Schizosaccharomyces pombe: one gene and its partner. Changing the gene in region 2 together with the main gene of any one other region gives a genetic interaction. Each region holds a gene or a part of one and is shown on either strand. Other genes may lie near its edges.

Region 1 (5,246 bases), on a different chromosome or scaffold from region 2:
TGACGAGAAAAAAAATCGGTAATTCGTAGACTAGAAGAAAGAAACCATTTTCAAATAATATCGTTCTACTAGAATCGGAACATGCAACCGAATGAATTTGTTTTTTTAAAATATTTTTAACGTTACTTCAAATGTACGGTATGGAAACGTAATTGACAATTGGCGAAATAGACGAATTCAATTTAAGAGATTTGAATACATGGAGAGATTGAATGTATAGTATCTAATTAAGGAGAATTGATGAATTTTTTAGATTTTTTAATGTGATTCCGGTTCTTCGCTATAATTGCTTGCATTCCAAAATCCCCGTAGCATCCATTTCCATCAATGGTTTTTCAATTCCCGTACACGGTTATTTTTCCACCGCTCTGCATTGCGAGTTCTGTGGCAATACCCAATGTTCTACTAGGATATTCTATTAAACCACGCTATATCAAGGAACCAGGCCTTTCCATCTTCCCCATTCTATTCATAGGAATTTTGGCCGCTTCCCTAGTAGAAGGGACAGCCAAAAAAGAGCGAAATTTCAAATGGACTTTTATAGGATCTTGGTAATATGCATCCATGTATATACCAGGCTAGTTTTTGCGCCATTGAAAAAGGATTTAAAACTTTTACGCTTAATCAGCCTTTGCATTCCAATAATTCGACCTTTTTCTTTCCTCATTTACCCACCACCCAAATCTTTCTCCCCGCTCAACTCTATTCTTCCATCTATCTTACCCATTATTCCTTTTGCTATCTCATCTAGCCTGCTCTTTTCATATACTTTTCACGTTTTCTACCGTTTCCTTTTCCAGCCGCTATTATCGGTCCCATATGCCAATTCCAAACAAACCAATTGTTTACTCGTAGCGAGCTTTGTTTATTTACCCTATCGGAGCCCGTTACCGGTTGTCATAGAAATAATGGTACAGCGTTACTTGTAGATTCAGCTCTTCCCAATCAGTGGTGTAGCAAAGAGGATGATCAATGGTTACAACAAATTTCCCTTTGTTTACATTGTACATAACCGATTGTTTACATTTTGGTTTCTAGGTAGTAAGTCAAAGAAAAATGTTGCACCTCGAAGCTTTTTAGAAAAAAAAAGCGTAAAAGAACTATTAAAGAATTTTCCAATGACACATTGATTCCATTATATTCTATCCCATTCTTCTTATCTACTTTCTCTTCTGCCACCTTCTTGCTTCTTCCATCCCACACCATATCCAGTATTTTACATACGATTCTAGCAATATGGCAAGAAACCGTCACTAAAAATTTCACTATAGTGAAAACCGAAAAATTACACTTTCTATTGTAGGGTTAACTTAATTAATTTTAATTTATTTATTTTTTTTTTTTGCTCGAAAGCATGTGCATAGTAGGATTGTACGAAAATAGCAGCAGGATGTTTATTTATAAGTGTGCAAATTGAATGAAAAGACATTCCTAATGTTGGTAAACGTAATTCGTTCCGCTAATGCTGCTAAAGCGTAGAGGGTTTGAATAAAATACATTTAAATATTAGCTAGTTTTTCATGAAAGACGATCGATTTAAATAAAAAAATCTGATCTGTTTTTCTATTGCATATTTTTCTCTTGCTTAGATATTTTTTCTTTTTGATTATTCGACAACTTTACTTCCATCGTACTCATTTTTTATATCAAACAAATTTTAATTATTTACTTTCTTGTCTTTTTTTTGTAATTCACCCATTCAGTTTTTTAACTTTATAATTTTTTTTATTCATCTCAATAGCTCATGTTTTCTGCAGTCTCTTTCTTGCCTTCAACTATCCCTCCTTCTATTAATTGATACATATATTTTGCGAGCTGCTGGTATCAACATTAGGAATTACTTAGCAAGACCAACTACGCTGCTTATAAAAGGACCGGCTTGTCTTGATAAAAATTGCATCTGATTACTACTTCGATACTCCTCTCCATTGGGGTTTTTATGGCTTAGTAGTCACCCTTTTAAATATTAGTTTTTTAATAATATTTAAGTATTTTTATTGTGTTTCGTTAAGATTTATATGGTGGTCCTGCAACGTACGCCAGCCGTCTCTCCTGAACCAAACACTACCCTCCGCCAACAACACATCTCGAAAGTGTTTGCGTAGTCCTGAAGTTTGGTTGAAAACAAACGTCTATAGGATTCACATATCGGGAAAACTGTTTAACAATCCGTATTTTTAAATTATTCTCTTTTCTCCCGATTAAAGTCTCCTTCGTGTGAGGCAACTAGGCCTGCTTTTTTCAAGTTTCCTTTGAAAAAAGAGCAAGACCCCATTTGCCTTCTGGACTGCAACAAAAGTTTTTCCTTGATTGTGAAAACAAACAGGCATCGGTTTTTTTTTCCGACTTGTTTTTGCTTCATCGTTTTTTTTTCTCTACTTCTTCTTTTACCTCCCCGTTATTCAATTCTTATACCTTGTGGTAAAAAGAACTTTGACGGTCTTTTATTCGTTTCATATTGCTTTTGAGAGATTCAAAGTTTTCCTTTTTTCTCTTTTATTATTATTATTGCTAATTTCATATAATAACGATCATTTGCGGATACTCCTCGTTTATACCCACCAGCCTTTTTCTTCTCGCTTCTTTCCCGCTTTAAAAAAAATCTTTCCCCTCCCCTTCTTTTTGGAGTGCCCTTGAAGTTTTTTTATATCTAAATCAAAGAAAAAGACTGAGAGAAAGTTATCTTATCCCCAAGAATCAACAGCATCTAGTTCTTTTCTTAAAGTTCTGGCTTCTTCATTTCATCTGTTGAATCGACAGACATTGGTATTTAGGAGCTTTGTCCATTGAGCCTTCTTTACTTTGTCTTAATAGACGTACTGTTTGCAAAGGGTTTTATACAGTGATTTTAGCGTGAAAAAAATTAAGAGCTCTTCGGTTTTTTCCGAGTTTCAAAATTTATTGTATATTCCTTTCTCTTGTATTTTGGGTTCATCATTTGTGGCATTCTCCGTTTTACACGCATCTGTTAGTGCATTACTTTCTTGATATTTTATCGCATTGGAGTAGATTTTGTCTTACTTAAATTTTATTTCAAAGCTTTGGCAAATCATCTGCTTACCTTTATTTCCTTTCTTTCTTTTTCATTACAGTCTTTTACAGGGAATTCCTTCCTTTTTTTAGAAATTTTCTTTCGTTAATATCTACCCATATATCGCCATTTATAAACTTGACGCTTATCCACCCTTACATACGGTTATCGTCATTTCAACCTGTTAACGGAGTGAATTTCTTTTAGATAAGTCACTTTGATCATTCACGGAGTTTGCTTATCTTGTTTGTTGAAGCTTTTCTCTTTTAGTGTTTGTATTTCTATTTCTTTTCCTTTACTTTTCTGATATTTTATTCCATCCATTAATTGGTTCTTTTTTCATTTTGGCTTACAAGAGCGGATAAGCATTAAGTCATCAGTCCCTCTTTTCAGTTCCTATTGAAATTGTTCATTCTTTTCTTTTTTCTGTTCGTTATTCTTTAACTGGGAACTCCTTTCACCATATTTCTAATTAGTCCTCATTCCTCAATCTATTTACAAGTTTTAAGCATAGTAGAAAATGTCTGGAAATAATGAAAATGTTTCAGGTATTACTGGTCATGATGCTGTCTCGGATGATCAGTACGCTTACGATTCAGAGGTTTATGATGACCAAAATGCATACCAACGCCAGCCTGCTGATGCGTATTCCAATGAGGAGTTTTTGGATCAGGCTGACTACGATTCTATGTATGGAGAGGGTTACAATGGGTATGATTACCCTACTGGTGTAACTGAAAGTTATGGAGATGAATACACTCCTGTCGACACCGCCTCTTCAGGTATCAATCAATATTCCACTGAAAAAGGAAAATTTACTCGTCCTTCAGATGAATACGAGTCTGAGTATTCAGATTACAATGCTCAGCCCTCAGATGCCAACAATTTTTACAATTTGAGAGGCGATGGTAGATACAACGCTTATGATCCTAGTTCCGATTCGTTGGCTAACGTCTACAACAGTGTGCCTTACGGTAGCAGTCCGTATGATTTTAGCAACTCTTCTTTTGTTGGTAATTCGGGCTCAGGTACCCCATTGGATGGCGATAGTGGTTCATTCTATGCCGATAGCGCTAATCTCACAAATCGTGAGCCTTATCCTGCCTGGACTCCTGAAAACGAACTCCCTTTAACTAAGGAAGAGATTGAAGACATATTCATTGATCTAACCAATAAATTGGGTTTCCAACGCGATTCCATGCGTAATATGTATGATTTTTTTATGTGTCTTTTAGATTCTCGTGCTTCTCGCATGACTCCAGATCAAGCACTGCTTACGCTTCATGCCGATTATATTGGTAGTGATATTGCTAACTATAAAAAATGGTATTTTGCTTCTCAGATGGATCGGGAAGATGCAGTCGGTCTTGCTAATGTTGGCATTTATGGTGGTAAAGTTACTTCTATCAAAGAGAAAGGAAAGTTCTTTTCTCGAAACAAAAAAGCCCCTAAAGTTGTTAAGCCTCCAAGGAAGTCTCGCTTCAAGCGCAAGAAGAAAAAGGAGCAACCCGAGGAGGCGGAAGACGAATACATTGATGTTAATACCGATGATTCTTTAGAATCCGCCGAATATCGTTGGAGATCTCACATGCGCTCAATGACTCAATTCGAGCGTGCTCAACAAATTGCATTGTGGCTTTTGTTGTGGGGTGAGGCAAACAATGTTCGTTTCATGCCTGAGGTAATAGCCTTCCTTTTCAAATGTGCTTACGATTATATTATTTCACCTGAGGCACAAAACGTCACTGAACCAGTTCCTGAAGGATATTACTTGGATAATATTGTTTCCCCACTCTACCAATATATGCACGATCAGCAGTTTGAAATTATCAATGGGAAATATGTACGTCGGGAACGTCCACATGACCAGTTAATTGGATACGATGATATTAACCAACTTTTCTGGCATGCTGAGGGTATAGCACGTCTTATTTTTGAAGACGGCACTCGTCTTATTGATATTCCTGCTTCTGAGCGTTTTCATAGGCTTCCAGAAGTTCAATGGAATCGTGCTTTTTATAAAACTTATTATGAATCCCGTTCTTGGTTTCATCTTATTACCAATTTCAATCGTATTTGGGTCATCCACTTTGGTATGTTTTGGTATTTTACTGCTTTCAACTCTCCTACTCTTTACACAAAACCTTTCCATCAGCGCGATGGTCCCAAGCCAACAGGTGCTTCCCAATGGGCTGCTGTTGCTTGTACCTCTGTT
Region 2 (5,869 bases):
ACCTTATGTCCCGTACAATTGTGATGCACAAGCTGTTGAGTAGACTCAAAATCACATTTAGAAGTTATCAGCCTAATTTCACAACATTCAGTAACAGATCTTTTTCGTTTACTATTACAATCTTTAGGGTTTTTGTTTAGCTCTGGCTCTATTGTTATCATGTCATCATCCTAAAGCTCAGTTAATATACATTTACTTCAGTTCAATGTAATATTTCTAATCATTTGCTATAGAATATCATATTTTTTTCATACGTCCGTGAATATATCAGGAGAAGATGATACCTCAATGTATTCTTCAGCCGACATCCATTTAATGAAACTTAGCTTGAAAGCAGCGTACTCAGAATCCTAAAACACCAAGAAAACGAAAGAATATCCCAAAAAATGATGAATATTTAATTTCGATTGTTTTGTTTTGTGTACTAGCCTGAATTTGTCGAAAGTTTTTCGTCCAGTTTCTTATTTTGGTTTAGACAAGTGGCAGCAAAACCAGAATATGCTTGATATTTTAACTCATCGTCTGATAAAAATAACTAAATGGTTTCACAAAAATGCGCAATACGAAAATGAAACAATATTTAGATAAAATCTTATTGATTGAAATGCAATGCTTCGTAAACAATACATAAATTAGAAAATTACAAAAGAGAGAAAAAAGTTAGGTAAAAAGTGTATGCAAAAGATTTATGATTTGAATCCCAATTTTTTTCCGAAAAGAGTTTTCATCTTTTTGGATTCTTTGATAGAGCTAGATGACGACTTGGCGTTTGATTGTTCACTTTTTGCTTTCTTCTTAAACAAATGTAAAATATCATTAGCAGCAGATTTAGACTTCTTTTTTGCTTCAGTAGCAATGTTGTGAGTTATAGTAACAGTTGACCTTGCAGGACTCAACGAAGGCTGCGTAATTCTTTTGGCAAGTTTGGTTGTAGTTGAAACTGGCTCAGAACGAGGAGGAGGAGGAGCTTCCTTTGGAGCCTCACCATCTTTTTCTAAGCAAAACTGAATCCAATTATCAAGGCCCGAATCGTATGCTGAATATTCTTGAATCTTTTGATTGAAAAAGTTGTAACGTTGATCGGTAGAACCTAATTCACCCAATCCATCGAACGACATCAATGGACTCTTGACAAACGCATCTAAGGTAGCAAAGTAATTTAAATTAGTTTCACTATTATCAGCCTTTTTGGAAATTCCAGAAGAAACAGCATCCGCTGAAGCACCGGAGTTAATGCTAGGAGAAGTGGTCGACTGCTGAGTTGAATTATTTTCAGCACTTTTAGAATGAGAAGATAAACCTGTCGTGCTTGTCTTTAGAGATAGTGTGTCTCGTTGATCCTCTTCCTGAACGACTATTTGCTTGTTGGGTTTTGGAGGTTCTGGCAAGGATCCACGGCTTAAGGCAGCAACTTCTAACTCATCTCTATTTAATGGTTCAGAGTGAGACTTATGTGTACTGGAATTACTGGATATTGAAACTGCATCGTGAGCAGCTACCACTTCGACCTTTGTAGTTGTCGTTTCTTCAATTGCGGGAGCCTTTGAGTTACTTGACTCAGTGTGAGAAGTAGTCGCTTCAACAATAGTTGGAAGACTAGTTTTATATGGATATACGTCTTGTTCTACAGAGGCTATTGTATGTTCATCGTCAGATGACCCCTTAGTCCAAAAAGGGTCTTCGGTATTCAACTTGGTAAGAGCTGGATCGGGCTCCTCCGAAAGATAACCATAGATACTTTCCAAGCTTTCTGAGTTTTTCAATAGTGCTCCTTCCTCTAGGGAGTTGTTAGAAACCAAAGAAGAGCGTGGAGATCCAACAACAGAAGCAGCTTGAGGTTCAATCCCTTGCTCGACAGAATTGGGTGATGTATCTCCTTTCACATCAACTTTTTCAAGGTTCGATTTTGAAATATGTTTCTCAGCATTGTCCTGAAGTAGATTGGAATTACTTTGAGTTTTTCCAACAAGGGTATATTTTGACGAATCGACAGGCAAATCGACAGCGCTGTCAGAAAAGCTATCAGGTATTGAATCGATAGAGCTGATAGCATCAAAATTTCGCAAAATACGACTATGAGTACCCGGTTGTTGGGAGAAAGAAGGATCGTTCGTAACTGTCTCAACCTCCGAATTGGTAGCATTATTTTGTTTAAGTGAACGAATTGTGGCTACCTCATCATCCACATCTGAATCTTGTAATCGTAGTTTAAGATTTTCTTCATCCAACTCACCTGAGGGCTGCTTACTAGGAGAATAAAGAAATGGTGAATTTACAGAAGTTATAGATGGATGATGCTCCGGTTTTGAGAGGTTTTCATCCTTCTCCTTTTCAGCATCGATTCCAAAATCGTTAGATAGTGAGTCCGAAAGTTCTTCCTCTGGGTTTTGCTGCGGAGACTCAACAAATGGAATAGACAAGCTATCAGTTGACTTAGTAGTTTGTAATTGCTTGACATGAGTGTCAATATCTGTTCGAGAAAGCTTTTCATCAGGACTAGGTATTTGTTCAAACTTCTCATTTGAATGATTCGAGTGTGAGCTTGTTATAGAATACGCATAACCCTTATTAATAATTTCGTCAGTTGGTTTCAAAATTGTATTAGTAGTCATGTTCGTATCTCCCTCCTCGACTTCTTGAACAACCTCAGATTGCTCAATTGCTTGTTCCGTAACAGGCTTTGAACTAGTTTCCAAAGTAGCTTTTTCACTCGTATTATCCAATTCATTGGCATCATCGTTAGCGGTAGAAACAATATCTTCTTTCACATTATTAGCAATTTCTACCGCCTCGGCAGAGTCCGGCAAAGTTTGCTCCATTAATTCGCTATCTAGTACTGCATGATCGTCATTAGGAGATTTCTTATCGTTCAACGAGGAAGATAGGTTACTAAGCGTGTCCCCAAAGAAGCTGGTATGCCTATGATTAGGTTCATATACGACGCTACGAGTTTTTGAACTTCTGGAAGAGGTAGCCCTGGAAAAATTGGAGCCACTACCAGTCTCTGCAACTGAAGCAAATGAGAATCGGTTCTTATTTGGAGCACGAGCAAATACGTTTGATTCATTGAGCTCTCTGACACTTGAAAAACTATCTCTACCCTTGATAGGAGGTAAAGACTCGGGTATTTCTTCAGCCTTTTTATACCTAGAGAAACTTAAAGGACGGATAGCAAGATCCTCTGCTGGACTTGAAACAGATCTCCTCTTTACATTTAACTCTCTTCGATTTTCCATTTGTCGAATATCCGAGACCCTATTATCATCTTGACTTTGAGGTTGAATGGCTGAAACTTGTGATGATTGAGATGAACGGGTGCTAGAAGATGCCATGGAAGATTTGTAATCAATCGGCTTAGAATTTGGATCTTTTCCTAATTTCTGTAAAAGAAATCTCCTCTTTTCGGCCCATAACCGTGCACTTTCATCAGCGGAGACAACCTTAGTAGCAAGCGTCTCATGGCTACTAGATGCTGCTTTTCGGTAAACAAAAGTGCCAGGGTATGAAAAGTCATAATTCTCGTTCTCACTTTGCTCGCTAAAGCTACTTGCCTCGTTTTCAATATCATCCTCTTCCTCCTCTTCTTCTATAATGCGATCGGTTCCGTCAGAATTTAATTCCCTTTCGGGATTCTTTCCGATATTCTCACTACTGGTGAGATTACTTTCCTTATCCTCACTCTCAGATTCTTCACTACTCCATTCATTACCTTCATAACTTGGAACATTGGAAATCCATCTTCCTGATACGTGTCGTTGCAAGCCTGTGGCATTACTTTGCTTTTGAGCCGTATTTTCTTCCATTGACCTATTAAGTTTTCAAATATATAGTCATGGACTAAAATTCGCTTTTTGTTTACTTATAAAACCGTTATTGATGTACTATTGTTCATGCGTAAAGTTGGAGGTGAAGGGATAGTAGTAGATTGCTGACTACCACATAGTCACTGCATAACATTGACTTCGCCAGCCCCATACGTTAACAAGCACAAGCTTGTAGGTTATTTATTGTTTTAAGCACAAAAATTGTAAGCAAACACCTTTTCAGAATGTAGCAGATATTCATTGTTTTTGATGTGGCTTACGCGTAATCCTAGAAGCGTTTGTTGAAGAAATCAAAGTACTTTTAATATCTAATCAGCTAATAGGAATGATGAACAAATACATCAATCTTCAAATTTAACATATTAGTATTTACAAAAGTGGAAATTTATGATTGCTAACTTCAACAGGCCAATTAATACAATTTACCTAATCATTGTGTTTCAAAACCAACTTGTTTAATTTTTCATTACTCTTAGATTCTTAATAACTTTAATTGGAAAACGTTTCTTGAAGAAGGATCTAATTTGCTAATCCAACTTGGCTTAAGGACTTCCACAACATTCTGTTACCAGCTCTAATCATTTTTTTTTTTAATATCTGACTAATATTTATATGTTGCTCCAAAAAAGGTGTTTTCTGATCCTTTATGAGCAATCGAGATTCAGCAAACCCTCCAGGCTTTAATGACGCGGTGCCCTTAGCTATTTGCTATATTGATTCTTCGACCAGTTCACACGATGAGTACTTAACATTACTTCAAAGCAAAGTTTCTGCTCCAGATAAAAATTTTCGTGATGAGACAGTCGACGGAGCTCCTTTTTTGGCAGGAGATGCTATTTCCAAAGGCCACAGGTATTCACCACCTGTGCGAAGTGATAGAGCATCTGCTCAGGGTTTGTTACAACAACATCTTGAAAAATCAAGCACTCTAGAAAATTTAAAACGATATTCTTCTACTTTGCTCGGTCGGCAAAATGATGCAGTAATTGATGAGCCATTCGCTCCGTTTCGTCCTCCACCAAGAGTTACACTTTCTGAGTCTAGACGTGACCGCTGGTTGCAGGGTTTATCTGATCCCATGGTGCCCTTGTCTTCTCTTATTAAAACTATACCACATGGTCTATGGGGAGAAGATATATTACGAATGTTGGTGAAGTTTCGAGTCCCTTTTACTCGAGCGATATGGTTCATTCGATGCGCTGGAGTAAATGAGGCTCGTTCATTTTTACGAAAAGTCCAGACAACTGATATAACAGAATGGGTTAAAAATTGGACTGATGTTGCAGCGGGATTCTTAATTTCGTTCATTTCGTCTTTTCTAAACGCTGATATTTACTCGTTCGCTGATGATTACACTTACCTATTGAAGCTTTTTGGTCGATTGCTGGCTGAAGAGTTGGTTTCGCCTAAACATTTTCTATTAAGAATTGTTTCCTTTTCAGGGGATTCTTCTTTAAAATCCTTTAGTCTTCACTTTTTTGCTTTACAGTTTTTTTCTACAAGCCTGATCCAGTACACCCATATTTGTCGTAAATGTGTTATCACAATTCTGCAAAGTTATCAACAGTTAATTGTGGACCAGCCTGCTAATCTTTTGAAGTTTAGCTTGCTTTCAAAAAAAGTATCTCATTTTTTATTTACCTTGGCTCAAAAAAATATTGAGTCGTTCTTTTTTCCTACTGAATGGGACAAATTGAAACCTACTATTATATTATTATGGAAGGATTTTCCAAATTATAGCACGCTTTTATCTATAATGCAGGAAAGAAACTCAAAAGCCATGTACATGTACAAACCTGTCACAAGTAGTATTCGCTTCTTGCAAATTATTTCATGTCTTTCCTTTCCAGTGGGTTGGAGAACACTGGCTAAAGATTTGTTTAAACTTTTACCAGTTTATACAGGTGTGCCTCTTTTACTACATTGGTGTATCAATTGCCGTTCTATTTTTTCAGGTGATCGAAATTTCATCGTATCCTCAATTTTTGACAACGCCAATTTTGACAGAAATTTAATTGTGGATCTGACATTGTCGTTTGTTTTAA

Evidence for each region.
Region 1: mutations in rng10 (region 2) and bgs4 impair growth when combined (synthetic growth defect), as found in Schizosaccharomyces pombe (one study listed by BioGRID).

Annotation. Positions count from the first base shown.
Region 1 is NC_003421.2:2,253,452-2,258,697, reverse strand, and holds the start of bgs4 (cell wall and secondary septum 1,6 branched 1,3-beta-glucan synthase catalytic subunit Bgs4), read left to right. Parts: upstream 1-2,045; 5' UTR 2,046-3,551; coding exon 3,552-5,246. Other genes in the region: SPOM_SPCC1840.13 (uncharacterized protein), read left to right, coding at 531-929.
Region 2 is NC_003424.3:3,118,693-3,124,561, forward strand, and holds rng10 (protein Rng10), read right to left. Parts: upstream 3,917-5,869; 5' UTR 3,804-3,916; coding exon 687-3,803; 3' UTR 527-686; downstream 1-526. Other genes in the region: structure-specific endonuclease subunit Slx4, read right to left, coding at 1-170, 255-308.